4 linked regions of the Lepisosteus oculatus genome follow. The protein of the gene in region 4 purifies or fractionates together with the protein of the main gene of each other region. This does not show direct contact. Links are inferred from orthologs where the notes say so. Each region holds a gene or a part of one and is shown on either strand. Other genes may lie near its edges. The genes, in order: gemin5, gemin2, ago2 and ddx20.

Region 1 (7,688 bases), on a different chromosome or scaffold from region 4:
AAGTCCTCAAGGGTCAATAAACCAGTGAAGCTCAGTTCAAGACTTAAACAACCACAGTTTGAGAGAGTTCAGTACACTTAAAAAAAGCAAACCTTTTCCCTTCCTGGTGCTCCAAAGGCGGATTGTCTGGTCCTTGCTGCCCGATGCCAAGTAACAGCCTCTCTCGCTCTCATCTTCCACCTCCCCATTGGCCACCTCTGTCAAAGGAACAGAGGGGTCAGGGGAACTGCTCTGTGCGTTCGCCCAGCGGGTCTGAATGCTCTGATAGCTGGCAAACAATAAGTGATACCGGCTCTCTTACCCAGCGGAAAAAAGGCAGAAACTCAACATCGATTAAAATACGAAAAGAGACTGCTGGCTACAGCAGTCCAGAGCCCTGATGTTTTCAGATGAACAGCCTTGGAGTAGAGACCATTTGAATGGGACACACAATGCCAGGCGAGAAGCACAGAAGACGCAGATCTGTGTGAAAGTCTGGCTTTGTGCATCATGCGGGGTCTGAGGCAGACGCTCAGAAACAAGACTGGCATTCATACCAAAGAGCTGGACGATTCCAGCTCTTCATATTTTCCATCTTCTTCCTCTTCAGAAGCCCTGCACCTATCGTCCATGATGCCCACCTAGGTCACCTGGCGAGAGCTCTGTACCTGCGCTTTCCTCCGCCGGCCGGCTGTAGAGCGCTTCCTCGCCAGGCTGGGGGCACCAGGCCAGGCCGTGGATCTCGTCATCGTGGCCTCGCAGCCGGTGCACGACCTCGTTTTTCTTACTGATGTCAATGACAATCACCATCCCATCTTTGTACCTGTGGGAGAGGTCAGCGAGAGCTTCGCTAACAGCACCAAGGACCCGCCAGGCCAGACGGGCCCCTACCTTCACAAGGAAAGCAACATAACAAACCATCTATATCTCCTGTGTGTGGATATTTTTCCTTTTTCCGTAACTTCCGGCATCAAAATACAGCACCAAGAACTCAAGGTGTACACTGATTTTAAGACAAGAGCTTGAGATTTTTCTTTTTCAGTTAGATGAGAACCACTGGTAATGCAAAAAAAGCTTTTTCCAACAGGTCTATTGAGAAATGACATGTGGTATCACTGTGATTGTGAAATACGAATATGCAAATAGAGCCAATTCAGATTTGCGTCATGAACGTGACTAACGTAAGGCGCACTGCTTGAACAATTAAAGCAACAGTGATCATTTGGAGTGACAAAACAGGGAGAACTCTGGGTACCCCAAGTTTGGACAGTGAGCTGTCAGAGGTACCAGCCCCACCCCCCACCAGCTATGTACCGTAACACACTGGAAGAGATGAACAGTTTGTATATTACAAGACATTCAGAATGACTCGTCAGCTGCATGGAAAATGTCCACTCATTTGGCAAGTACTTACCCCACAGCGATGTGGTTCTCATTGTGAGGAGAACAGGACAAGCAGAAGATATTCCTGGGCTCAGGGAAGAAGCTGTGTGTGTCGTTCCTGTTGTGCCAGTAACACACCACAACCCCCTTCTCATCCCCGGAGACCACCAGGTCCTTTTCAATGGGAGACCAGTGCAGCGCTGTTATGGTGCTCTGGAAACAGAACAGCCAAAATACTGCAGCACAAGTGGAGCAGTCAGACAAACCCAAAAAAAGCAGAACCTGCCTGAAGCACCGCCTCACACTTGTGGTCTCTGTGATTCTCTTATGAAGGGGGTGTATTAAAATGGCAAATCTTACTAAAAACAGCAGTCATATCACTGTGCAACTCACACTTGGCCACCCACTGAGGTTAAGTAGGTGTGAGCCTGGCCAGTACCTGGATGGGAGACCTCCTGGGAAAAACTAAGGGTGCTGCTGGAAGAGGTGTTAGTGGGGCCAGCAGGGGGCGCTCACCCTACGGTCCATGTGGGTCCTAATGCCCCAGTATAGTGATGGGGACACTATACTGTAAACAGGCACCGTCCTTCGTATATGACGTAAAACCGAGATCCTGACTCTCTGTGGTCATTAAAAATCCCAGGGCGTTTCTCTAAAAGAGTAGGGGTGTGACCCCGGCGTCCTGGCCAAATTTCCCATTGGCCCTTAACCATCATGGCCTCCTAATAATCCCCTCTATGAATTCGTTACTCTGCTCTCCTCCCCACTGAGAGCTGGTGTGTGGGGAGCGGACTGGCGCATCATCCAGGTGGGGCTGCACACTGGTGGGAGTGGAGGGGATCCCCATGACCTGTAAAGCGCTTTGAGTGGAGTGTCCAGAAAAGCGCTGTATAAGTGAGGGCAATTATTATAATTATAAAAACACTCTGGAGTAATCACAGAAACAGCAAGGACTCATTTGAATAGAGCTTCCCGGGGGAGCCTACAGAGAGCTCTGCACTCACCTGGTGGGCTTTGTGTTCTTTCATCAGAGCTCTTTTCTGCGAGTCCCAGACTTTGACAGTCCCGTCATCTGAGCAGCTTGCGCAGAGGTCCTCTTGGCCAGGGTAGCGACAAAAAGTAAAACCCGAGACTCGCTCTCTGTGGCCAGTCAGCTCACCTGAGAGGAACAAGGCAGTTATTCGACACCTCAGGGCAGAGTACACAGCTGCAATAGGGAAGGATGTTAAGTCTTGTTAAGGATGTTAAGTACATAAACAGAATTGAAAAGTAAAGCTTTAAGGTACTGACAATATAATTAAGGTGTCACATACAGTACAGGAAAAAAAAACACACAGCCTTTTTAAGGGACTGTGAATGTGGGGAACAGCTCACCTAGGATGGCTGGCGATTGTGAACTGATCTGCAGCAAATATACTGAATTTTTAGCTCCAAACCCCAAAACTCCCTTGACATTCGTGTCACTGGACCGGGAGCAGTACCAGTTTGGAGACGCTGATAAAAGTCTCTCGGACATCCTAACTCGCTCAGCCAGTACTTAAAGAAGAGCTGAGAAAGTGTGGACCATCACGCAGCGAAACTGGAACAGACGCACGCTGGGGATCCGCTCATGCTGCTGTCTAAACAGAACGACAGCCGCACGACGAACACAACTGTCGCAAAAACACTACAGGAAGCGAACAGGGTTAAACTTCATTCACGTTCTTACGCGGCGCAGAAGTTTTATGTAAATCAACTATAATATTTAACTCTTGGCAGTATTTTCAGCGTTACTATTTTTAACTGAATTTGGCGCCGCTTTTTTAAGAGTTAATATTAATTTATATGAATCAACGTTATAACTCTTGCGGGTACGGTCAAGTGTCATAAACATCCATCCATTTTTTATGTTTGGCCTGGTGAGGGTCGCGGGGTCATCAATCTATATCATTTTGAATGAACACTGCGGGATTAACGATATTTAATATTAAACGTTTCTTGTTTTGCGGTATTATAACTTCAGCAATTCACTTTCTCCTTGCGATTTGTGTTTGGTTTTGCAGCAGCTTTCCACATCTCTTCCTGCCGTAAAGTGATTTATTCTGGAAGCATTATGGCGGCGTCCGCTATGCTGGGAATGGGTAAGATTATTCGTTTTTTTTGTATTTTGAAACGTGACTTTTGATTTATTAAAAAAAAAAAAACTTGTGATTTTTTTTCCACAACAGGTAGTTCATTCTTAAGAAGCATTGCTGGACGGGTGCAGACGAGGTATGTAAAGTTAATTACAATTTTAATAGTAGCATTGTGCTGTTATGTCTTGGGGAAGGACGCACCATAGCAATACACAATTCCCAGTAAAACTGAACAGCTTCCTGAAGTGTAAATCGGCAAGAGAAGAAACATGTAGACATGTGTTCTCCGCCGTGCTAAGCACAATAAAATCAAGATGTCGAGTCTTTCCGGTAGATGTCCTTTGTGAGTAATATAAATTCATGAGTTTGCAAAGGGGGTCGTTTTCGGACACCAACAATATTTTAATCTATGGCGGCACTTCGAAAGAATAAGGTAACTGCGTTGGGCCTGCAGAAATGGATCACCTCCTTGTCATTGGCAATTGGGATTTTTCTATAGTTTCGTGTCGCTTTACGATTATCCTTGTTTGTAGCCCACTCGTGAACTGCATGTTCCTGGCACAGACACTCGGCCGTGTAATAGTAGTGAGTAATGCGTGTCTTCTGTGCAGGTTGCTTGGGTCATGCAGCTTTGGACAGACTTCCGGCTTTCACTCGAGTGCGGCTCTGGAGGTCAAGAGCTGGGAGAGGAAGAATCGCATCGTGTATCCCCCGCAGCTCGCGGATGAGCCCCGCAGGCCCGCGGTGAGTTTGAGCTCTCCCGCGTGGTTGCAGGCGTGCTGTCACGCTTTTGCAGTCCTGGCAAAGATATGTTTCAGTGCATTGCTTCTCAGAGTGATCGAAAGCTCGTTTGTAGTGAATTTACGCCAGGGCACCAGTTCCAAGCTGAAAGCACGGCCAGCTTTCAGTGCTGCACGCCCTCTGTGCGCGGTGGTGAGCCGTGGGCTCAGCACACTGGGCCTCGGTGGGCCTCAGACAGTCAGGGAGTTCCCGGTGTTCTTTGCTTGAGATGCCGCTGGGGCCCCTGTGTTGTACCAAGTCCCACTGGACTTTTCCAGTGTTGTCACATGTTATTTAAGCCTTGGGGAGCTGTGGGTGGAAGGAAAAAGTAAAATAATTGACTGACTGGTGTGGTGTGGTGGCTCTGTGGCTCAGGATCTGTGCCTGTGGCTGGAAGGCCGGCAGAGGAATCCTACTCCGTTGGGCCCCTGAGCAAGGCCCTTAACCCCAGCTGCTCCAGGGTTGCTGTATAAATGGCGGACCCTGCGCTCTGACCCCCAGCCTCTCTCCCTGTCTGTGTGTCTCATGGAGAGCAGGTTGGGGTCTGAGAAAAGACAAATTCCTAATACAAGAAATTGTATATGGCCGATAAAGTGATCTGATCTGATCTTATCTTATCTTGTTGTACCACTTTGTACTTTTGGATTTACCGGTCTAATCTTAATTAATTAGACAATCAATTGAATGAATCTGTGTAATTAAACTGTAATCTGTACAATCTAATTAATGTAATCTGTGTAATTATATTTCTTTCTCTCTTTCTTTGCAGGAAGTACACCACTGTAGAAGACAAATAAAGTACAGCAAGGACAAGATGTGGTATCTGGCAAAACTGGTAAATTAGACTTTTGATTAATAGCCTTGTGTTCTCTAGGGAAGGTAATAATTTGTTTGCATGTATGTGATGCTGTTTATGCCATTGTGCTGTACTTCTAGGAGAGGACTCGTTTCCTCCATAACTGAAGTGGTGTGTGCCAGCTGCCCTGGTGCACAGTCAAGCAGGCTGATACATGAGGAACTATTTCACCAGGGTTGCCAGAGAGTTGCCTTGGATGAACGTTTCAGCCGCGTAATAAATGATAAAAAAATGTTTTATTTAATACTTACAGATTCGAGGAATGACAATAGATCAAGCCTTGGCCCAGCTGGAGTTCAATGACAAGAAGGGTGCTGCAATTATTAGAGAGGTGGGTGAGATAAGATGCTGATGTAGCGATCCTTAAATCTCAGGAAGGTTAAAATGTTTTGTTGATTGTGCTAGGTTTTCCTATGTAAATCTAAAAAGTCTGACTCTTTGATGTTTGTTGGTCTAAAGCTGTAGAGATTTAATTTTGTTTTCACAAAACATGTTTCAGAAACACCTGTATGTTTTTTTAGAGAATGTTTGTTCAATACTACTGTCTATCAGTGCCTTTTTTTCAGGGTTTGGATCCCCAAAGGTAATAATAATAATAATAATAATAATAATAATAATAAACTTTATTTTATATAGTGCCTTTAAAGGTGGCTTCTTAAAGCGCTTTAATAAGTTAGAACTAGTTATACTATAAACTAGTAATAAAGCTTAGCACTAAAAACATTATATCTGAAAGGCAGAGCATATTCGGATTAGTTTGTCTTGGCAGAAATCTGATCTCTCAGATTATAGCGAATGTGGGGAAAAGGGATGTTGATGTACTGTGTATATAATACGGAGAGCAGGATTCAGGATGTAACACTGTTTTGCAGGGGACAGCTTTAGTCCTGTAGTTCAGCCTTCACCAGCTCTCACCAGGGCTGTGTCATTAGCTGACATATTGCTTGGCTGTTCAGGCTTGGCTGCCTGTAGGTGTGCTGGATTGGCAGTGATGGGCATGTTGCTCCTGGACCAGCCTGACAGCAGCATGCTTGGAAGGGAGGCGTTCATGGGTCCAGTCACCTCTGTGCTCACACAAACATGGTAGCAGAGAGCCCAGTGGGCAATGTGGAACAGAGGAGGGTAAAAGAAAAATACCTGCCTTTTCTAAATTTTGAGGGGATGCTCTTTGAAGTGTTCATAAGTGGACTTGATTCACTCATTCTGTATGGGTCTTGCCTAGTTAATTAACCTGATGTTAATTATTTTAGGTTCTTTTAGAAGCCCAGGAAATGGCAGTGAGAAACCACAACGTAGAATACAAATCAAATTTGTATGTAGGTAAGTGTGTTCCCCACTGCTGTTGTGTCTGTTAATTCATTTTTATGTGCAGAGTCATGCTAGTGGGTTCCTGTCTCACATTTTTGTGAGTTCACTTCATAGACAAGAGACGAGAAACTAGAGACAGTATAGTCCTCAGGAAAATCAAACAACACATGCACTGCAGAATGATTTGAGAAATGAAGGCAAGCCAAAAAATGTGATTTAAAAAGACTAAATCAAAACCAGATTAACAGACTTATTTTCTTCATGAGTTTATCTGCAGGAAAAAAAAAAGTCTTCCTGATTACTGAGCCCATCTGCCTGAGAAAAGCTCATTAGTTGCTTGCTGTGTTCTCTGTACTGCTTGGTGAATCAGCTGCTGCTTTTCTATGGGAAATGCTGCCCTGGCATGAGAACAATAAGGCCCTATACCAGACCTACTAGAGCTGCTCTTATTTTGGGGACAGAGAGAAACTGCTGATCCAGCTTCATTGTCATAGCTAGATAAGTAATATACTCATCTCTGCTCGCGCTGCATTTGTTCCGATTCCAGGTGATGCCTTTTCTGTAAGACACAGTCTTTTCTTTCTCTGTGCTTTATAGTTATCCTTCTTCGCAAATGCCCTAAAAATACATTAGTTTGAGCTATGGAAAAAAGTCATCAAATATGATTTCAGTGTTATGCATAAATTTAATCATGTTCCACTGGAATATTAATTCTTCCTATGGATCTGTCTTTTCTTTTACTGCTCCTGCATTGGTTCTGCTTGTGCTCCAATGTGTTTTACCAGCAGGTGTGGCGGTTCACCTTCGGAATTTGTCACCTGGAAAGAGTTGACTTGCTATGAGTAGCAATACCGAATATTTTGTTTTGCCTTTTTAACTGATTTCACTTGACTTTGAATAGGAAACAGTATTCTGGTGAGCCTCTGCTCTAAAATATTTGTGTATTATATTTCATTAAATATTCATGTGAAATGAAGGTGGTAATCAGGGTGAGTTAAGAGAACAGAGAGGGAATGCATACTTGCACTACAGTAAAATACATGTCTTGTTTTTTTAGAAATTTGAATAAATAAGGTTGACTCTAGTAGTTATTTTAGATGACACTTGACAAACAGAATGTGTTGATATAAGTGGGAACTAGATAAAAGCCAGATGGCCAAGAAACAGTGTGGAGGCTGAGACACTGGGCACTTTCCACACTTGCACGGTAATAGAACCTGTCATTGTACAGGAATGTAGGCAGCTCTTCCTGGCTGAATGGCCCGGTC
Region 2 (6,975 bases), on a different chromosome or scaffold from region 4:
CCAAACCAGTTGATCAAATACTCCAGAACAGTAGTAACTAATACCTTGAAGAGAAAGCAAAACTAATTTATATTACCACTGCAATAATGTATTTCTTGTCTTTCTCAGATATTAACCTTCTCCACCTTGGTGCCTAAATCAAATACAAGCAAATGCAGGCTGATCTGTACTAGCAAAATGAAACGTCTTACTTGGCTAAATCTGCTGACGATGCTGAGCAGAGGAGGGAACCCCACCTGAAAGAAAGACAGCAGAAGAGTCACACATGTTCTCAATGGGTCCACATGTGTAACAGCTGAGGTCAGGAAAATCTCATTACTCATCTCCAAAGCCAGGGCTTTCCTGGATCAGAGTAAAAAGGAACATGGGGAACAATATTCCCCTCACTAGCCGCCTGTGTATAGCTTTCAATACAGCGGTGCTTTGTTTGCAGCAGAGGGATGCGAACAGGTCAATAATCACCTTGACGTAATCAATACTGGGGCTGTCGCTCTCGATGGGGTCCTGTGTGCGTGGCCTTTCAAAGTACACATTCTCGCCCAAGCAGAACTTCTTCCACCCTTCTTCATCGCCTGCTTTGGGCTAGTGAGTATAAATGAAGAAATAACTGAACACTATTGACCCAATTCTCCCCCCCCTCCAAGTTACAAATCAAGTGTCTCAGTGGTATGTTCTCACCATGATCACATTGTCATCCAGGGATTGCTCCTTCCAGTGCTGCCGATGTTTGTTTACCCTCTGAAAGCAAAAAATATAGATATTATACGCCTGGGGTGTGCAACTCTAGCCCTGGTGGGCAGCAGTGTATAAGTTTTCATTACATCTCTGCTCTTCTAGACTTAATTGAGCTGACTAGTTGTTTTACTGAACCAATTAAATACGTGTTGAAAGAGAACAAGAAACCTCATGTGTTCTGGCTCTGAGGACTGGAGTTGTGACCTATATTATAAAGCTGGACACCTTTTTAGCATTATGTATATGCTTCGCAGAAGCTCTTATCCAGGAGCCCTTCCAGTTGCATATGATCAATGCAATAGGTAGATCAATACAATAAAATCCTAATAAAGCAAGGACACAAATCACAAACTTAGAATAAATCAGCATAAAGATGACGACAGGAAGAAACAGATACACGCAGCAGCCTAGCAGTGGGGAAATAATGCAAATCTAGTCAAGAGAAATGCAAATAAGTCCCTATACAAGGCAGGAAAGTGTTGTGCGAAAATAATTCAACTAGAACGAATAAGGGGAACTGCAGGCACGGCTTTACTACAGTTATCTGGACATAGAGACTGAAAACAATGCATTACAGCAGTTCTTGTAAAAGGATAATATTATCTGCAGCTGTGGGAGGAGACTTTTATACAGCAGGCGCTGGCACTTTTACGCCAGCAGCCATATTCAATTCAATATTATATAGGGCCTTTCACAACGAGGTTGACCCAAAAAGACACTTAAAAAAGCTGTGGGACAATACATTACATGTCATGTTACATGTCACAGAAAGAGAAAAGGCCAGAAGACAACAGAGGAGAGGAACCAAAAACTCCTCAGTAAAGAGAAGAAAAACCTCTAGGGGTCCAAGGTCAACTGGCTGCCCAACCCCTCTGGGTATGCTAACATTATACAATTCACCATTATATAACTCACCACTGGCAGCCTACTGAAGCTCAGCAGGTGTGAGCCTGGCCAGTGCCTGTATACTTTAAGTACAATAACTTTACAATAAATATTTTTTACCTGTCTGACATCTGAAAAACTGCCAACTTGCTGTTGCTGCCATCTGAGACTTGGGGCAAGTCCTTCAGGGGCAGGCTGGCATCCAGAAAGCTGGCAGACAGTGAAGTCAGTCCAATGTTAGATACACAATCACAGACACCCAGATACACACACAAGTGGTCGTCAGTGTTACTGTAAGGCTTTGTCGAGATTTTGTGTCAGCAAGCCCTGTGAAGCACTGTGCTACACAATGGTAATCCAAGAAAAATGAATTCTCACAGTACTAAATGGAAGTAACATCCACGAGTTGGGAACACTTATGTTTAAGCAAGGTGAAATAATGTATTGACATGTTCAGTTTTTTAATCCATTAATGATTTTAAGAGGAACCCCTTAGAAGCAGAAGAAGTTAGAAGAACTGCAGGGCAGTAAGGATGTATTTTGTAATAATGGTTTTCCACGCAATACAAACACAGCATACTCCAGCACAGCGGAATATAAACAACAACGGAACAAGTAAAGGTGTATTCCATGCTGAAAAGAGAAGAAAAGAAACACAACGTTTCGGCGATGAGGCCTTCTTCAGGTGTGTCACCTTACTTGAAGTAGCTTGACGCATCTACAGTACCTACTTGAACTATAAATGACACCTTACCGAAATATTCACAGTCTGTTTCTTTTTCAGCTTATTTGGGTCAATTTGGGCAACAACGACATCAGGACACATCGCAGCCTCCAGCCTGAAAAGAAAATTCCGTTCACAGAATTGTTCCATACTTACAGATCCAATAGAATCCTGTTTAAACTGCACTTTTTAATACAGATGCACACAGCGTCATTCTCTGCGATAGAACTGTTTAGATTTACCTTTCCGATTAATTTATTATTTTCATCACAGAGATGAATAAGCTTTTTTTAACAAAAAACATAAAACGAACTTACTGAACCTGTCGCAGATACTCCTGGGGGTTTGTTGGAGGTACGTTGGGATCAATGTCTTCAGTATCGTATTCTGACACAGGCAGGAGCCTGGGCATGAGTTCCTCTACATCGGACTTCATAGTGGCTGTGCTCAGTTTGAAATAGATCCCCACTACTAACCTCTGGGCTAAGATCCCAGCTGTGGATTTATCTCGAAACGGGGTACATATTAAATCTCTGATTTTTTTTTTTAGATTAATGCTTTGTAGTCACTCAACGCTTTAAAATACAAATTATGATCGTTCATGCGCTACTCTTATTCTCCCTTGGTCGCCGCCATGTTGTTTTGTGACGCACAAATTACGCGACGTCTGCCATGGTTACCGCTTGTTGCCAGAAATGCACAAACAGTACAGATGAAGTGAAGCAGTATAGAAAATATGAATAGGTCGACTAAATTGAAACTACACGTTGTATTTGCGTGTTAGCTGTTATCGTGTTAGCAGTTAAACGTTCACCTCGAAAATAATATAAACATTAACAATTTTCCCGTTTCAGAACGCAGATCGCTATGTTACAACGCAACGTGCGAAACTTGTCGCCATTGATGTCGTTTATTCTACCCCTGATTCCCCTAAATGTATTTTAATGTCATTAGCTGAATCCACTGTTATAGTCTTTTGAGAGTCCATGCTATCTGGGCTTTGCCCTCAAGCCGTTCAATTGCAGTTAATGATTTACTCTCAAACAGACCTGACTCCGCATTTTAAACAGGCGCTGTTTTCGCAGGATTATATCTTGAATTTCAAACTTTTATGCCTTTTTTCTGTTTCATTAGAAGACGACTTTCTCTAACCCATATTATGGCGCTGTGGAAATAACTTATTTAAGTAGATTCTACTGTTTAACATGGGTTTTTTCTTCTAATTGAAAACATGGTGCGGGGGATTAGTGAACTGCTTTTTCTGCCAGCTCTTTTGTTTTTACTCAACACTAGGCAAAGTCTGGGGTTACTGTCCGACTACAAAACATGTGGAGATCTTGAGTGTGAAAGTAAGCATCAATGTTTATTACAATATGGGGTCTAACTAGAGAAATAAGTTTTCCAGGTAACTACACCTCCAGAAAGTAATAATTAATGAGCAAGGTTTTTTAATAGCACTCGTGTTTGGAGTAGGTTTCTATTTGCTTTTAAAAATGTCATTATTTCAGTGCATCTACTAGCATATGTAGACTGTTTCGACAAATGTACAGTATGGTAACCATTATCACCCAGTTGTTTTATCTTTATTCAAGAGTATGGATATTTTTTTAAATACATCTCGATCTGCGTAGCAATATATTTTTTTCGAGTTCAGAGTTAACCAATTTTAGACTTGGTACTCGGTGACTAAGCAAACTATAGGTCAAAGGTCGATAACATTCATTTCGCATATTAAGGTAAACGTTACAAGCTTAATATATATATATGTTTATTTTCCATTTTAAAGTCTATAAATACTTTTCAACGAGTGGATATAGCACTTCTGAGCCATTGCTTCCTGATTGCCAAAGCAAAATACGCAATTTTAAAAATGAATGGTGTTTTAATTGCTCTTACTACAAACTAGTACCTGCTTGTTTTTTCCGTTTTGCAAGAATATGACCTTTTGTGTTTTTTTGTATCGTTTTAGGCTCAATAAATCGAGTCCGGGCCATACGAAACTATAAGAACCCCGACTGCAGATTTTTGAATTTCAGAAGCGGTGACGTAATATTCGTATATCACAAACTTTCAGGAAAAAGAGACGACCTGTGGGCAGGAACTGTATGTATTTAAACTGAAATCAGATATTTAACTGAAAAACCGCCATAAGGAGCGACAACTGCTTATAAAACACACATAGTTCTTTGATTTTTATTGCTGCTTTAGAGGAACATTACACGTTTTTGTTCAATTGTTTCCCTATGCATGTTTCAATGCAAAGTACGATGATTCACTGAGCTAACATGATATTAAACATTTAAATCCAATTATTAAAACAAAATAAGACCCTGGGCTCATCTCATATTAATGCCCATAGTTAAAAATTATACTACTTGAATATATGTATATTATTGTAATGCTATACGATTTGAAATGTAAAGTCTAGTATAATAAAAGTAATGAAATTCTGGTTGCTTTCCTTTAGATCGGCAAGCGGTTTGGTTATTTCCCAAAAGATGCAGTTGAGGTTGAAGAGACTTATGCAACAAAAGAAGTGCAGGTTCCAACAAAGGTAGTGAGTTTTGCATGGTTCTCTTGTACTAGTTGGCTAAAAAAACGAAGAAAGTTTAAGAAAATCAAATTCTATCCTTGAAGTCCAAATACTTTATCTTCATAATTTAAACTTAAATAAGTACAGTTATAAGTTCACAATAACTTTGATAACCTTTGACGATTTCATGTTCTGCCAGACTTTTTCCGCATGAATTTCTGATGAAATCATCTCGTAACACTCTTGTCATCATAAATGTAATCTGATTAAAATAGGAACTAGAATAATTAGTGACCTCCTTCCCCTGTTTAATTGTTTTTTAAAAGGGGGAAAAGAGGATTCTAATGATTTTTGGGCACGATGGGATTTGGTTCTCTCAGCACAATGTTCTCATGGAAGAATTATTTTTTCCTTTCAGGAACATGACTTCTTCTGTCTAGACGGAAACGGTGCTTTCATAGAAAGTGACTCCAGTCACTGGGACAGTGAAGAACATCAGGAAGAAACAGCAAGAGATGAAACAGAAAGTCCAGAAGCAAGTGGCTCTGGAAGAGGCTCTGTAACAGAATTTAAGAATAGCGAAGGTATTGCCAAAGGGCAAGAGAATGGCCCGGCAGTACCGCACACCACTGACAGAAGCGAGGAGCCCAAGACTGTTGAACGAGGTGGGTCACATTGGCTTGGATCTGGAATTACTGGATGGCTGGGCATCGGAGGCCAAGAGGATGATGTTTCCCAGGAAGAGAAAGAGGAACAATACTCCTTTAGGAGTAGGAAGATTGCATTGGATCTGAAGGACAATGATTTAGATGGTAATAAGCTGGAAACAGTGGCAGAAGCGAAAAAATCTGGTTGGCTTGGGGGACAACTATCAAACATATTTGGTCTTAGTCAAGAAACTCCGTCTGAAGTCGTGGGTCCGGATGCCCCTGAAAAACAAGGAGTAAAAGTCACACTGCAGGACAGGGGTCAAAGTCCAGCAACGAGTAATAAAAGGGTGATAGCTGAGACAGAGACTACAAAGGAAGAGGATGCACAGTCCAAGTCTTGGCTTAGCTTTGGTGTCGGGGATCTGTTGAGCTATGGTCAGAAGAACAGTGACAAGGAAGGTGAGGGAAGGGGAGAAAATACTGAGGGTGAAAGTAAAATGTTAGAAACTGCTGTAGATGCGAAAACACCAAGGCAGGATTTTAGTCAATCACAGGTTCATACTGTACAGGATCAAGAAGCAAAAGATCCTGGTGGAACAACAACAACAACAATAACAGCTCTCCAGCGAAACAGTGAGCAAAGCTCCCAGATGTCTGAATTAAAAGCTGAGATGAAAGAATCAAATGCTGTTCCAGAAGTAGTGATAACTAAAGATGAAGAGCACAAGAAAGAGGAAAATACAGGTTGGTATGGCAGTGTCTATGATAATATTGTAGGATTTTATAAGGCAAGACGTAAAGCCGTTGATGATGATAGTTCATTTCAGGGTTCTCAAGAAACGGGCAGTCAAGAATATACTTTAGGCAAAGAAGTTAAAGAAATTCAGGGTGAAGAGTCTCAATCTATGTATTCCATAGGCAACATTAAAGATTATGATCCCAGCAAGCATATCCTAGGAGAAGAAAGTTTAGCCAAATTTTCAGATGAAGACAAAGAGCATGTACTGTCTAAGGAGGAGCCCATCATATCTGGTGCTATAAACATAAGTGGTTTGAATCAAAACAGTCAAGAAGAAAAAAATAGGCTTAAAGAAGAGGAACCACCTGCAGTTCAACTGGATGTAGAAAGTGTCATGGAACATGACGTGATCAGTTCCTATTCAGAAGTTAATTTAAAATCATTAGATTTGTCAGTGGATAATAATGCCTCAAAATCTGAAAGTCTAATAGAATCTGAAGATCATACCATAAAATCTGATGGAACTGGAATAAACATTGCTGGAAAAAGTACTTTACTATCAGAAAATCAGATTGAGAAATCAGGCATTGTGCAAGATATCACTGAAAATGTAAGTGATCTTCAGGGTGACAGTGAGGCAAAAGTAAGGATAGAAGAAACCAGTGCCAGTGAGAATACTGAAAACATGCTGAATTCTAGGTTTGAAAGC
Region 3 (7,599 bases), on a different chromosome or scaffold from region 4:
TGCAAATCGTTCAGGTACTTTTGGCTTGGCTTCAAAGTGCCCTTGCTAATCAATTTTCTGTTTACCCCATGTACTCCGTGTGGAAGGGCAGGTTGATCTAGTTAATGTCTGGTTTGTTATGATGCCCATTTTCCCTTCTTCATAATCAGCTTCCTGGTACTTCCTGCAACTCACAACTGGCAGCCCCACTGAAGCTAAGCAGGTGTGAGCCTGGTCAGTACCTGGATAGGAGACCTCCTGGGAAAAACTAAGGTTGCTGTTGGAAGAGTTGTTAGTGGGGCCAGCAGGGGGCGCTCACCCTGCGGTCTGTGTGGGTCCTAATGCCCCAGTATAGTGACAGGGACACTATACTGTAAACAGGCACTGTCCTTCGCATGAGACATAAAACCGAGGTCCTGACTCTCTGTGGTCATTAAAAATCCCAGGGTGTTTCTCGAAAAGAGTAGGGGTGTAGCCCCGGCGTCCTGGCCAAATTTACCATTGGCCCTTACCAATCATGACCTCCATCTATGAATTGGCTTCATCACTCTGCTCTCCTCCCCACTGAGAGCTGATGTGTGGAGAGTGTACTGGTGCACATTGCATCATCCAGGTGGGGCTGCACACGTGGTGGTGGAGGGGAGTCCCCATAATCTGTAAAGTGCTTTGAGTGGAGTGTCCAGAAAAGCGCTACATAAGTGTAAGTTATTATTACTCAAAGGGATGAGCAAATGTATCCTGATCCATTTGGAGGGGAGTATGCACTCCCCTCCACTTTATCCCTGCTTCATAGAGCTGATAGAGCTCATTACTCTTGTGGTTGATTTGTAATGTTGCTGTGTGGTTTAAATCAAGATCGGTCTGAGGGAACTTACAGAAACACATGGCTTTACTATAAAGCCGAGTTAAAACACTTTGATCACACGCAGACAGAAACCTTTACACTAATTTGGTGACCTTTCAAACTACTCTTTTAACTTAGTGAAACCGAGAGTAAAACTAAATGTCACATTCCAAGATTTAGTGAAGATTTTGTGTTGACAGATATAAAAGTTCTAAGGTACTTGAGCTGTGAGATGTACATACTGTATATCATATATTTAAACATCATAATAATTATTAAACAGAGATTTGGGAAACATATGGAGTACTTTTCTATGGTTTAGTAAGAATAATCAGAAAGAACAGTTCAGCTGTTATCCATAGTTCAATTGTAAGAGTTATGAAATAGGTGCAATAGCATATTAACAACATGGTATGACATATTGCATTAACATTTTAGAAAGAAACCATTTACCTATTACAATGGTTTGATTTAACAGTGAACCATTAAGTATTAGATATTTATTTTGCAATCAATAATTGTTTTTCATGTTCTTATCTATGTTAAAAACATACTCTCACGTTGCAAATATAATTAAGATATGATTATACCTTGTAAACTTATTTTTGTTGAGAGTGGAGGATTCTGGTATCTTTTCCAGAGGCAAAAAAAATAATGTAGAAACAACATATATTTCCTTCTATTTAGAATCATTGTTATTTTAATGTTATTAAACAAACAACATGTTTATAAAATAGCAATGGAAATATCTGCATCATCCTAAATTTATGGAAAAGTGTCGTGTTTGCAGTCTGTCTGATGTGTAGAAAATGAGTGACCTCCCAAGATGGGCTGGCTCACACTAACTGAGAAAAGCCAAGTAGAATATGATCTAGAGTAAAAACAGATATGAGTCATGTATCATATTTGTGCAAGACTGGCTTCACACTGCTTTTTTTCCCTAGAATTTACTGTTCCCATGTGGGGCTGAAACAATGATATGACTGGCTCTTGAGTCAGATTCATGTGTAGAATATCTGCATGCAGCTGCATTCTGGAAATTACTGAATATTGTAGGGCCATGCGTTACTGTACGTAACCCTGTTACTAGATTTGAAAAAAGCAATGCATCAGTCCTAACATTTGGTCCTTATTATAAGACTGCTGAGCACATCCTCTGACATTATCACACAAATCAGGCACACACTAATGCAAAGCAAAAATATAACAATAATAATTCCTTACTTAATTCGTTAATTATAGTGCTTTTCAATACAATAGATCTTAAATATCTTAAACATAGGAGACGATCCACTTCACCAACCAATAAATACAGCTCCCATCTCGGTCGTACGCAGAGATTCCCAGACACAGCAGAGGTAGTAAGAAAATGCTTAGCTGAATTAAGGGGGAATTCTGGTTAGACCAGATGGTATAAACCTAGAGTAGAAATTAGCAAGCACACAAGTCTTTAGTTTTACAAACATGGGACAGACTTTTGTTACCGAAATTTAAAGTCAGCAAAACGGTAAAGGTTTGTTCCATGTTGAAAAGACAAGAAGAGGAACACAATGTTTCAGCTGGGGAGCCTTCTTTGGGTATGCTTTTTTCAGCATGAAATAAACCTTAACTTGTTCCTTTGCAGGCTACCATGGTAACACAACTACATACTTGAATTAGTCAGCAAAGAGGCCCTTGCATTTTTTAAAGAAAATTATTTCTGTTGTGAAAACACAAAATATGTGTAATGGAGAATATAGTATTGTTAGGACAACTACTGCAATCAAGAAACTGGATTCTGATAAACATTATTAAGAAGATATGTTTCCAAGTTCATAAAACATTAATATAACAATATTCTTAACATTTTTCAGTTAGATAGTATTAAACAAATTGTGATCAAGCTAGCGTTTTATTGGAAGGACTTATTTGTAATTTATGATTCATTAATTTAATGAAAATGCTGTAGTCTTTTGTTTTGACAAGTTTAGACGGTACATTTCAGACTATAAGCAGTTTCAAAGTACTTTCATTTTCAATGCTTGTGTTTGCAAAAGGATTTAAAATAAAAGCAAAGGAACTGACCATTTTTTAGTTTTATTATTGTTCTTGCAGTGTAATTAAATTTTACATATTAAAATAGAAAAGCTTCTGCAAAAGCCATCACAGTGTTATATCACATAAAGAGTTTGGTTACCGCAGAAACAGTTTTGATTTGATCCCAAAGAAAAAACATTCACTGCATTTGTAATCATTGGGCTGGTCAGGAAGATAAGATAAGATAACACTATCCCAAAGGGAAATTGGGGAATTTCCTAATTTTTTTTAGAAATTAAGTAATTGTAATTTCCATTCAAATATCTTACTTTCGGAAAGAAAAAACATAATCAAAAACCAATATAGGGTTTGGCATGCTATTGAAAAATATTACCTCTCTCCAGTCAGTCTGCAGAGGAGCAACTAGATACATTCTGGGCCTTAAAGGAATGTTTGGCACCAACAGGTTTTAGGACATGAACCTTTTTAGGTCTGAGCAAAGAGCACTAAAGACAGGAGGGAGCGATCCAAGTATTCAAAACCTCAAAGTCAAGCCAACTTCACAAGTGGATACTATGTGGTAGTTCATTTGAATCTGAAAACAGGAGGCATTTACTTAAACAACATTACATTATTGAAACAATCTACATTGTGAGAGTGTAGAGCAAACTACCCGTCCATGCTGCTGAAGCCGAAACTCTGCCTTCTTTCACAGAAATAAATGGGCGTCATCATGTGGTCAATTACAGCCACAGACGGGTTTTATGGGTCTAATCGGAAGCATAGAGCCCGAGAAAAGTACAATTATCATGTCAGTTGAATTCACGCTGCTTTTCCAGACAACCCTACTGCACCGTCTAGAATCCATAAAATAATATTTGGCGGTTGCATTTTGAGTTCTAGTTACAGATTCATAATTACACGTGGGAAATGATCAACGCTGTTTAAAGTCGAAACAACGCGTTCTTTTCTTCCTAAACTTGGGCTCTGGGGGAGATGAACAGGATAACAGGCAGAAAGACACGCTTGCAGAGGTTGGCAGAGGACGTGAGCGTCGCTTGAAAAAGTTCCCTCTCCAAGTACAGAGGACTCCCGCTTGCAGTTAACAGGGAGGGGAGCGAGGCGGGACATCGCGTCTGGTATGCAAACAGGACAGTCTTGATGCGTGTTTTCTGAATGGCCGTTTTTATAACGGCTAACCACGCCGCAATTATGTTTCAGATTTTAGAGTAGCCCCATCCTCTGTTTATACTTTACGACGAAAAAAAAAGTAACATGTTAAAAGAAGTCATCACAGATCAAAGACACTCAAGCCCTTATTTACTTTATGTTACACGCGACTGTTCCTGGTACCGACACTTAAATGGAAATATTTTTTATATTGTCCCATACTAGATTAGGGCGCCTGCAAAGTAAATATAGTAAAATAATAAAAAAAAAACTGGTTGGTATCCGGTTTACAAATCATCGTCAAAGCGGGCTGTATTTTGTGACTGAGCCAAGTTTTTGTTCCTTCGAAGCCTGTAAATGAACCACATTAAAAAACAAACAAACTGTACAGGCAGGTACGTTTTTGCCAGTTTTTTGTTGTTGTTGTTGTTGTTTCCCGGTGCGGTAACTGAAAAAGCCCATCGCTTCAAGCCTATGAACACCGCGCAGCGGCGGCGTCCGCCCAGAGGGCCCCGGGCGAGCACATGGCTTTCACCGCGCCGGCCCCCCTGGGTGACGTCACGGCCCCTTCTCCTCTCCTGCGGTGAGCTGCTGGGGGAGGAGCGGAGGAGCCCAACTAGCGAGGATCCGTGTTTGTGTTTCATTCCCTTCACCCCCCAACTTTAATCCTCTCGAGTGAGGCTGCCCCTCTTGTTCAACGTAATCACGGCGAATAATTTTTTCTTTGGGGGGGGTGGAAATCTGAAACGTGGAAAGTGAACGGCAGCCGGACGAGACGGAAAGATGTACACGGGAGGAGCAGCTGGCGGTAACTTCATCTAGTTTCTTTTTTTAAAAAAAAAATACTACAGAATGTGTGTTGATGGGGGAATTTAAAAAGCGGAGGAGGAGGTGGTGGTGGTGGGGGGGAGCGTTTATTTGTTTAAGTTTGCCTTTTAGTGGTTCCGTAAGGAAAGTTGGGCTTCCAGTTGAAAATCGCTTCGTGTTTGCAAATCGCCAGGCGTGGGGGGAATGAGATAACGAGTCTTGACGCGGAGAGCGAGTCTGGAGGAAAGAGTTGGGAGCAGAAGGGAGGGATAGAGGCCCAAGACACCGATAACGTGAGGAGAGTAGGTCGGGGAGGGGGGGGTTATCGTGGTACGATTTCGGACGAGCCCCTTGCGAGGTGAGCCGGAGTGGCGCCGCGGTCGTGCGAGTTGGCGCACCAGCTGCGCCTCACGGCGGTTTCTGGTCGCGCTGGCGGGGTTGGCGGTAGGCCTGAGCGCCAAGCCCCGAGCTGGCGTGAGCGCGCAGGCGGGGGGACCGGGGCTGAACTCCCGGGGGCATCCGGCGCTGGCGGCTCGGAGTCATGGAACCGGTGCACCCCGCTTCCTCCTGCGGAAACGCACGCTGAACAAGCTCACGAGTTTATCAACGTGAAAATAATGACTAAATATGGTCTATAAGGCTGCTAGGCACGTCTCTGTACACTGGACAGCACAATGGTTGCGATACTGTACTTTCAGCATCGTGGACTTTTTCTGCTCTGAGACCAATGTTTTCGTCAGCTAGCGCGTATTAAATGCAGAATTTGTACGACACAATTGTGGCTTTTGAATATGTAGGGTGGATCTTGAGATCTTATATCAGTGGTGGAGTGTTATGTGTTGTTAACGGCAGCAAGAGTTTAACTTCATTCCCACACAACTGGGTCGTTCATTACGGTGATGTTGTTATTGAGGGTTTTAAAGTGAAAAGTGCGCAGCTAATGGTAGTTTATCTGTCTAATTTCCACTGTGAACCACAGCGGTTCAGGTTGCGGTTTGCCTGGCATCAGAGCATACCTGTTTTTGAAACTGGAACTAGACCAGAACTACAATCTAAACTCCTTTTTTTGTATCCGAAATGCATCGGTTTTTTTCCCGCTGGCTCTCCTTGCCCTTTTAAGTAATTACACACTGCAACACAAGACATTTTACGTTGTGTACTGTATTACAAAGGGACTTTATATGTGATCAAGAACGCAGATTCCAGTAATGCATCTTCAGTTTACCTTAATCATCCTCATTTTCCCTTTCCCTTTGACTGAAGGGGGCTTTATCTGGGAGAAAGGGGATGTCCCTGTCATCTCAACGGTAGGGAGGGATAACTTGGCTAGTGTAGGTGCAGAAAGATGAAGCTATTTTTGAAGTAGGCCATACGTCTTTCAGTGTGATGACCACAAATATCCATGTGGTAATTGAAATTGTTCTGTTTTAAGACATATGAATGACAAAGTAGTATGGGCTAAATTTCATTAGAAGATGACTGCTCTAATGGCATTTTGGTGTGGATATCACATCTCCCATTTGGCTTTGATATTCTTGAAAACTAGGTATGGCTCATATGTAGTAAGTGCTATGAGTGATTTTGAGTGTCAAAATGAGAAGGTGATTGTGCCTCGCCCCTGGTACAGAATGATGTTAAAAAAACTGTCTAGGGTAGATAAAAAAACCCTAAACTGATGGCGGGATTTCAGTATGCTTCAGTTAAGCGTTCTTAAAACTGCTGCTTGGTTTCCTCTGATTTCTAGATTCAGACGTGAGCGAGTTATGTGCTATCCTCAGGTTCACTCAGTTCCTGACTGACAGAAGAGTATCTTAGTCAAGTATCTGCACAAGTTCCTGGAATTTGCTGGCCAGTTTGTATGATCTGAAAGCCTTGCACAAAAGCCAGGCCCAGTTGGCTCAGAGCAATCCATTGCACTCTTATTTTGTAGCTACAAGTACAGCTTTGCTCCCTTTTACAGCCTAGAACAGCAGTAACACATTATGATCAAAACCTCAGAAGGTCTGTGAGCATAGTGATTCGTATTTGGATTTCCACAACTTATATATTGTAAACTCACGATGTATTATAAACTCAGAAATAAGTTTATTGTTCAGATGAAATGTATAAGGAGTGTTTAAAGCTGTATTTTGTTTTAAAAGCAGACCCTTGGAAACAAAGGTTGGTTGTAATACTAATTTGATATTTTCAACAGTGACTCAACTTTTCGATGGCGAGTTCACTTGTAGCATTTAAGTAAGTGAAAATGTTTATAAGCCTTATATCAGATATTCTGGATTGCAAATGGTAGGGAAACACACTTGGAGAGTTTTTGATTATTATTCGGGGGATTTTTTCGAGACTTTCTGGCAGTGGGCACGTGGAAAAAGGTCAGATCCTGGATCGGACGGCACTGTTTCTAAAAAAGGTTTGTGAGATAGTGGAAGATACGGAGGCACACTTTCTTGGAAAATTGAGTGTCTGCCTTTTCACTTGATCTACAGACATGAGAAACCTGTCTCGGCTGTTACTATTTGTTTGTGATAGATTGGATGAAAAAGATGAGATCAGTACAAAATTGGCCTGTCAGCTCTGTTCCAGCAGAATTAACATCCTGTATGTCTGATTCCTGACCCTCAAATAATCAGTTTGTAAATTTGTGCAATAATATTTTACTAATCATATATGGATGTGATTTGGTCAGTTACACTTATATAGCTCTTTTCTAGACACTCCACTCAGAGTGCTTTACGGTAATGGGGACTCCCCTCCACCACCGCCAGTGTGCAGCCCCCACCTAGCTG
Region 4 (7,991 bases):
AAGACTACAACAATAAATAAGAAAATTTCACAAGACAGGACACAATTATAATTACAACAATACAACAATAACAATAGAGGAGACCGTGGAAGATGGTATTAAGAAGAGCAGAGGGGTGAAGAATGGAAGCAGTTAAGTAAAGGCTTTTCTGAAAAGGAGGGTTTTGAGTCTGGATTTGAAGGAGTTTAGAGAAGGTGACTCTCTAATATCCTTGGGCAAGGAGTTCCAGAGCTTGGGGGCATAGCAGGAGAAGGCCCTGTCGCCCATACAATGTAGACGGGCTTGGGGGACAGTAAGGAGGGCAGAATTTGAAGAGCGGAGGTTGCGAGGTGGGGAGTAGGGCGATAAAAGTTCAGACAGGTATTGAGGTGCCAAGCCATGTAAAGCCTTGTAGGTGAGCATGAGGATTTTAAAGTCTACGCGGAATTTGACCGGAAGCCAGTGCAAGGACTCCAGGATAGGAGTAATGTGAACACTTGCACTAGATCTGGTCAGGATTCTGGCTGCTGAATTTTGGACATACTGCAGCTTGTTCAGAGTAGATTTAGATACCCCAGGGAGCAGAGCATTGCAGTAGTCAATTCGAGAGAATACAAATATGTTGATCAGCTTTTCAGCCACAGTTAATGATAGCATAGGGCGTAGTCTTGCGATATTTCTAAGGTGAAAAAAAGATTTTTTGACAGTATGCTGTACATGTGGGTCGAATGTTAAGCCAGAATCGAATATAACCCCAAGGTTTTTCAATTTTGATTGGAGCTCAAGTACAGAGCCATCTACAGACAGGGTTACAGGACTGGCTTTACGAAGTTGATGGGGGGTACCAATAAGCATGACTTCAGTCTTGTCACAGTTAAGATGAAGGAAGTTTTGAGTCATCCAAATGTTTATGTCAGAGATGCAATTAGATAGAATAGAGACAGCCACATCAGTGTCGGGTTTGGTATGGATGTATATTTGAGTATCGTCAGCGTAAAAATGAAAGCTGAGGCCATGTGATCTTAAAAGCTGACCAAGTGGGAACATGTAAATGCTGAAGAGCAAGGGGCCCAGTATTGAGCCCTGAGGGACACCAGACTTGACAAGACCAATTTCAGACCTGTACCCATTGAGAGACCTTTATTAGGTATTTGGTGATGAGTGAATAAAGTGCACATTCTCACATGGAGTTTATTGATGTGTGCTATTTTAAGGGCTTGTGTGTTTTTTTCTTTGTCTTTTAAAACACCCAAAGTGATTTTTTTGTGTGTGCAAATCCCTAGAACGTTCCTAGCAAAAAGTTGCATTGTCATTTAGACTGCTACTGCAGGTTTTGCAAATCACAGCCTAACCCATCAAAAATGGGTTTATTAATATGATAAAAGAGTTCTAATGTTTAATGTTAACAATCATTTAGAACTCACTGGGAAAGCATACTATATCTTAGCACCATAGCCACAAAGGTTGAACATTTCTTCCACTATCTAATGCTGTTATACGGCTAAATATCTCAAATTCAAATTGTATTCTCTCTAGAGTGACAAGGATAAAAAAGAAAACAAATTCCAGAAAACACACAATGACTATTTGACATCAGAAAGTAGCTGAAAAATCAAACACATTTTTGAACTCGTCTCCTTTCCCGTTATCTGACCCAAATCCATGTAAATGAATGCTTGTCTCAATTGAATATTCAAGAGCGTTGCTTGTTTGGATATCCCAGGTGCATGCAGCCGTGGATGGGGCAGAGATTCCGAAACCGGGCCCAAAAGCAGAGGCTGGAAATGCATTAATTAAACATCCGATGAGCAGCAAAGCAATCTGTTTGGGGAGAGCAGCGCACAGTGTGAGAGATGTCTGATGTTGCCGTCCTGTGTCTTGTGCCACTGTTCAAACCAGAGCAGAGGCAGGAAATTATCCAAATGCAAAGGATAATGTACTCTAAGGCTTAACAAGGAGTGCGCAACACAGAACCGCTCATTTAGGTAGGAACTTTCTGATCAAAGCTTGGTGATGTTTGATGTGGAACAAAGGTCCAATTTTGCAGACAAAGGAGGGTTGAATATGGTATCTCAGCTGGAATTTCATATAAAGGTTTTGCATTATGATTTTAGTGACAATACATTTGTACTTCTTAGTACGACACAGAAAAAAGAGCCTGGAAAAGCAAAAAAAAGCTTATGAAATAAGAAATAGGAAAGGGAGGATACTTATTCTTCTTGCTTTCTTTCCAAGAAAACCATTGAATTATAGTTACCATTGAAGGTGTTATTTTTTACGATGGAATTTTAACAAATATTCAGTTCAGATTCCGTGCACTTTACTGAAACATTTACCCTTTGTTACACTGTTACAAACTAAGTGTGAATTCTTTATTCTTATCTGAAATTATTTGGCATGCTAAGCTGTCATTTCACAGAATAATTTTCTGAAACTTCCACGAAGGCCTATTGCACAGGAAAAGTGTGGCAGGGGAAGCAGATTAGTGTTGCTTTGAAATACTGAACATAGCAAATGTTTCATTTTCTTAATCCCCAACTTTTTGCGTTCTCCTGCCAGGTTCAAACGAGGGCCAAAGATGAAGAGAAGATAATTGTTTCACATCTAGTGTCCTAAAGTTGAGAAGCAAGTCATTCTCTCCAAAAACTCCAAGAAATGAAATTTGTGTTACACATTGTTCTGAAATCCATTGGTTCACCACTTAATACAGCAGCCTATACAACACCACCACCCTTCCTTCCTGCTTAATTTCCCCAGTATTGGCCCCATGAATGGCAACACAGTGCTGCAGTGGTTAGCATTGCTGCCTAACAGCATTGGAGCCCTGGATTTAATTCAGGTTCTGGGGTGTTATCTGCATGCATGAGTCTGGAGGTTTGCCCTGTGTTTGTGTGGGTTTCCTCCAGGTGCTCCAATTTCCTCCCACAGTCAAAAAACATACTGTTTCATGAATTGGCTTCTGGGAAACTAGGCCATGGTGTACATGTGTTGGTGTGTGCCCTGTGAAGGACTGGTTTCCCTTACAGAGTGTAAGCTGCCTTGCCCCTGATGCTTGCTGAGATAGCCTCCATCTGGCCAGCGACTCCGTATTTTATAATAGAGTTAGAAATTGGATGGCTGGAAAAAACAGGGAGCTGTGTCTGCCTGCTTTCCTTCTCTCCGTTGGCTGTCAGTGTAGCTTCCTAACTGTTCAAAATGACTGCAAACGAGGCCTTAGATCTGTGGACACTTGTGTGAACGAATGCCAGCTGCATGTCTTAGAATAGTGTGGACGAGAAGAGAGACATGAGTATCATTGCTCTGGTGTACACAGATCTAATTTACTTCTGGTCAGCCCTACATTCCTCTACCGCTTTTAAAAACACAAGACTGCAAATTGGGAGGCGAGTGAGAGGGAAAGAACTCACCCTTTCAGTTTTTCTCCATTATTCTTTGTCGTGCGTAGGTAATTACTTTTAATTATAGCTGGCAGCTTCCATTCACAATACAGAGAGTAATGATGAACATGCTTGTACTTTGTTAATTCAGGGGTTTGGTGATGCTTGTTTCAATGATAAAGCTTGCACACTCATCAGCTCTTGTAATTTTCCATCATTTAGGTTTGAGGGGATGTTTCGGGTAAGGGGAGTCATGTCTGTCTGATCTCATCCTCCTGATCCACCCATTAAAATTTGCACCAGACTTTGGTCAGATACTGTACATATCTTCACACTTACAGGCTTTGTATGGGAAAGCCATTCCATTCATATCCAAATCAAGGGTTACTCTGGATGTTTGTGTTTGTGTGTTAAGGAGGAGTGAACAGAGACAAGACTACATCCTTCCTGTTACATATCTTGTCACAGATGGGAACAGTCTTGCATGATGTGTGTCAGCTATTTTGTGCCCCACTGCCTAGTAACCTGCAGTCCAGTTTGATCCCTTGATTACTCTCATTGGCTTAATCAAGTACAAGATTTGGACCTCAAGTTCACTGTATATTTCTGACTTTGTACAGATTATGCAGCAGCAGCATTTAACTTGCAATTCATACGTTATGAGGTCCTTCACTCATACAGGATTAAAGTCTTATTTTGATCTGAGTTACTGATCTGCCACCATGCATGCTATAGTAAGAGATGTATCAGGCACTCTAGAACATGAAAGAGTGCCTGGGTGCCCCCTAGAAACCACAAAAACACAACAGCAGCTTAGTGATTCTTTAACCAATGCAATAAATCAGTGGGAAGTGGGTTCAAGTCTAATGTTTCTTGTTTAAAACATAGGATTTCAGTACCTTAGCAGCTGTATAGTGGTGGAGTGTGGTTGACCTTTGATCTGGTGATGGTAAGTAAATTAGGGATTTGTCAGTCTAACTGCATGCACTACTTGAGATGTTTTCACTGTTTAACATTACAAAATATTGGCTGTATTTGCAATTCACTGAGATGGACTTTTAATTGAAATGACAAATTTTCATTTAAATTACTAAATGTAACTTAGCTTTATACTCTTTTTATAACTTTTATTACTACTGCTACTATATGTTGACCTTTTTGGATTTGCTGGTAGTCTTAAAGTTTGGTAGCTAATGACAGATCAGGCTTGTATTCGTCATCCTCACGATCGTCTATATTTTTGTCAGAAATGTCAGAAATTCGAATACCAATGAAAGTTTATTAACAGCATGTGTACTTTAGACGTTCAAATACTGCCCCGTAGCGGCTAAATTGCAAATTTCCTTAAGGTGTAAAACAGGCGATGAAAAAGAAAACCATTCAAGCAACGCACCAGGTTTTTGGAAGTCAAAGCTAAAGAGTCAGTGTTCTTGGCGGGTAACATTATCTTTCCCAAGGATTTAGAGTTGATTGAAAGCAGTCTACGATGTGTTTCAGAATTGCGTTGTCCTGTCCAAGGTGCTGATAGTACTCAAGTGAAACTGAGCGTGTGAGCAGCATAGAGCCTAAAGTAACGAATAAAGTTTCATCGTTCAATAAGCGGAAAGAACGCGATATTTGGGTTCAAAATGGCAGCATCTATGAAGAAGGCTGCACATGATATTCAAACCAGGAGGCGGACTGAAGATGTCTTGCTCGCAGAGGGTATTGATTTCAGCTCGTTGTTGCTGTCCCAGCCTGTCCTCGATGGACTGGCTGCCGCGGGTTTCCAGAAACCCTCCCCGATCCAGCTGAAAGCCATCCCGCTCGGTCGCTGTGGGCTCGGTAGGATCGCTATTCTTACGAACGTTTTGGGTTGGATTTAAATGTGAACTGCGATTTGCACTTTGCAGCCTAAAGATAAAATCTCTTTAATTAAAGTGGTGCTTCCTGTAGTGTAATAGACACTCTGTTATCTTCGTTAACATTAAGATAAGCAATTTCTGGAAATAATTAATCATATTCGTAAACGATTATAGCACACTGCGGTGTGTACCCATTACAAGATACAAGATAGATTAAAAAATCAGGTGTGAATTAAATGTGCAGTATTGTTGGTAATGAAAATAATGTTTATTACAGATGCCATGAATAAACAATTCCGTTTACCTCGGAAGCTACATTTCTCTATATTTGGGAAAGTGGGAGGCGTGGCTGGCAAGTCTGCTCTCATAATTGAGACATGTGCTCTCGGTACGGCTAACGCCATATAAACCAGTGTAATATAAAAACAAACCAAAAAAAACCTGTAATCTCTGAACCGATGGACGACCGTGACTTAAATATGGAACCACACCTACTGTGATGGGAAAAGCCTCTATTTATCTGTAATGTTAATTTTGTCTTTGATATAATGCTGTGCTGCTTCAGTTTTCTTCTCCTGTCAAACATAAACGTGCCCCAAACCTTTCGTATTAGCCACGGTATGAATTATACAACAACGTGCATCCAATTGTAGGAGCTTTGATTTCAGACATCTTCATAATGTCTCTTATCCAAAATCAGTTGGCTTTGGCTTGCAGTTACGAGATCTTTTTATTTTTCAGTGGTGTGTGAATAATTTATATGCCCATTTTAAATGACCCTTTTACATGGTCTTTACAAAGAGGTTAGTAGCTCTCAACTGCACAAGATAAAAGAAGTATAATGGTACTTTTGCAATTATGACAAACACATTTTTTTATTGTGCTATAACTACCACTACGCAGTGGATGTCAACTCTCTCTGAAATCCAGACCATGTCGAATTCTGCTGAAGTGGGGTTCTCTGCTGGCTAGATTGTAGTGCTGTGGCCCTGGGCCTGGGCAGGGGTAGAGTAGAGCTTCACTTGTCACTGGTGTTGTGTAGAATTCTCCTGTGGTGGAGTTGTCTGCTGTCTAGGCAGTGGTGCTGTGTGGACACATGCCTCCGGCTGTCTGGAATCAAATCCCAGCTGGCTCAGGGAGCACTGTACTTGTCACACCTGTCCTACCCCAGCGATGCTCTGCCAGTTGTGTATCAGTGCCTGAGGAATCCTGATGGTGTTTATCATGTCCGGGTCATAGGGCTTAACGTGCTCTCTCAGTGATCACCTGTACTGGTTAGATCAGTTGGGAAACCCAAAGTATTATCACAAGTGTCATTTATAAAGACTTTTAGTGAGCATATGATATTATTGGGTTATCCGAAATGGTAGATGCAGGAAGAAGACATAATAGAAAATATTATTTAGGGAGGTAAAATGCTTCCAGCTTTTTCATAAAAAATCCGGAAGCCTGGTATCTCTTTTCTTGTTCTTTCAGCGCAGAATAAACCTTTACCTTTTCCTTTGCAGCCTACGCATGCTGACACGGCTACCTACTCGTTTTTTTTTCATATGCAGTAGAATTATGTTTCCAAAAGTATTTGTGGTGTGAGGCTCCCCCATGTGGTCTTAATTGGAATTTGTCTTTTTCCAGATCTTATTGTTCAGGCCAAATCTGGCACTGGGAAGACCTGTGTGTTCTCCACCATTGCCCTAGACTCTCTGATCCTGAAGAATGTGTCCACACAGGTGAGATCCTGGCATACAGCAGATACTTTAAAGGTTGCAAACCTGCAAACTGCTTTTGTGTGGCAAGCCTGTCCCTCATTAATGTGACTTAAGTTAAACAGTTATAGAACTCCTGGCAAGGGTCTGTCATTACTAGAGCAATATGTACAAATCTAAAATGGACATTTTCATGTCGCTCTCATGTCACAGCAGCCTGGCTGTCTCTGTCACCAGTACTATAAAAGTTTTTTAAATACAATGTTGACAAATAACAAGTGTGTGATTGTAGATTCACCGCGATAGTAAATTGCAAAGACTAAATTTCATTCTGGGTTAAACAGAATTGCACGAGCAGGGATTTTTATTATTTTTTGAGCCCCAAGGACTACAGGTTTGTTTTGCTCAGTCTGCCTCAGCGTCTCGCTCTTTTGGCAGGTGCTCGTTCTGGCCCCAACCCGTGAGATTGCGGTGCAGATCCACTCGGTCGTCACAACAGTCGGCGCTGCCATGGAAGGCCTGGAGTGCCACGTGTTCATCGGGGGCACCCCAGTCAGTCTGGACAAGAGCAGGCTGAAGAAGTGCCACATTGCTGTGGGCTCTCCAGGTCAGTAAGGAAAGTGTGGGCACTGCTTAGATTCTCAGGGTTGTAAGCCTCTGGTCAGAACACATTAACCACTGGCATTTCGTTTTCTGTTGATCCTCACCTCTCCTTACACCAGTGCTAAATAAACATCCATCGGAAAACTGCTTATCCTGTCAAGGATCACAGCACACCAGAATCAGTCTGACATGACTGCAGGATGTGCCAATGGGCTCCTCTTGTTTTTAAGCTTTCTGTCATTCTCCCTCTGAACCTGACACCAGTTTATTGCAAAACTATGGAGAAAGGGACATCATGGATTTCAGTCCTGGTCCCCTGGGGAAGCTCCAAATTCTGAGGACTCCCCCTGTCTGCAGCTGAGCCTTTAGTAACCAGTACTAATCATGGCCAGTAACTGATCTGCCCAGTGCTTATTCGCAGGGTAGTTTATTTTAATTTTCTACTTGAAGTAATTTTTTAAATTTGCTTTTAGCTCTTGAAAAGC

The links.
Region 1: the proteins of ddx20 (region 4) and gemin5 purify together in Homo sapiens (affinity purification with western blotting; 6 studies listed by BioGRID and IntAct, counting the BioPlex papers as one, with this or other methods). This does not show direct contact. The link is inferred for Lepisosteus oculatus from reciprocal best matches to the Homo sapiens genes DDX20 and GEMIN5.
Region 2: the proteins of ddx20 (region 4) and gemin2 purify together in Homo sapiens (affinity purification with mass spectrometry; 6 studies listed by BioGRID and IntAct, counting the BioPlex papers as one, with this or other methods). This does not show direct contact. The link is inferred for Lepisosteus oculatus from reciprocal best matches to the Homo sapiens genes DDX20 and GEMIN2.
Region 3: the proteins of ddx20 (region 4) and ago2 purify together in Homo sapiens (affinity purification with western blotting; 3 studies listed by BioGRID). This does not show direct contact. The link is inferred for Lepisosteus oculatus from reciprocal best matches to the Homo sapiens genes DDX20 and AGO2.

What each region holds. Positions count from the first base shown.
Region 1 is NC_090706.1:40,639,809-40,647,496, reverse strand, and holds the start of gemin5 (gem-associated protein 5), read right to left. Parts: upstream 3,016-7,688; 5' UTR 2,879-3,015; coding exon 2,737-2,878; intron 2,522-2,736; coding exon 2,367-2,521; intron 1,576-2,366; coding exon 1,394-1,575; intron 803-1,393; coding exon 648-802; intron 198-647; coding exon 93-197; intron 1-92. Other genes in the region: mrpl22 (large ribosomal subunit protein uL22m), read left to right, coding at 3,455-3,482, 3,570-3,612, 4,088-4,220, 5,026-5,091, 5,366-5,443, 6,363-6,432. UniProt on the Homo sapiens protein: The SMN complex catalyzes the assembly of small nuclear ribonucleoproteins (snRNPs), the building blocks of the spliceosome, and thereby plays an important role in the splicing of cellular pre-mRNAs.
Region 2 is NC_090703.1:3,376,078-3,383,052, reverse strand, and holds the start of gemin2 (gem-associated protein 2), read right to left. Parts: upstream 3,013-6,975; 5' UTR 2,781-3,012; coding exon 2,662-2,780; intron 2,460-2,661; coding exon 2,375-2,459; intron 1,831-2,374; coding exon 1,741-1,830; intron 739-1,740; coding exon 679-738; intron 583-678; coding exon 463-582; intron 237-462; coding exon 192-236; intron 45-191; coding exon 1-44. Other genes in the region: mia2 (cTAGE family member 5), read left to right, coding at 3,576-3,693, 4,314-4,447, 4,812-4,898, 5,296-6,975. UniProt on the Homo sapiens protein: The SMN complex catalyzes the assembly of small nuclear ribonucleoproteins (snRNPs), the building blocks of the spliceosome, and thereby plays an important role in the splicing of cellular pre-mRNAs.
Region 3 is NC_090705.1:34,006,320-34,013,918, forward strand, and holds the start of ago2 (protein argonaute-2), read left to right. Parts: upstream 1-4,587; 5' UTR 4,588-4,792; coding exon 4,793-4,817; intron 4,818-7,486; exon of another isoform or gene 7,487-7,599.
Region 4 is NC_090700.1:32,130,893-32,138,883, reverse strand, and holds the start of ddx20 (probable ATP-dependent RNA helicase DDX20), read left to right. Parts: upstream 1-4,971; 5' UTR 4,972-4,984; coding exon 4,985-5,180; intron 5,181-6,832; coding exon 6,833-6,927; intron 6,928-7,341; coding exon 7,342-7,510; intron 7,511-7,991.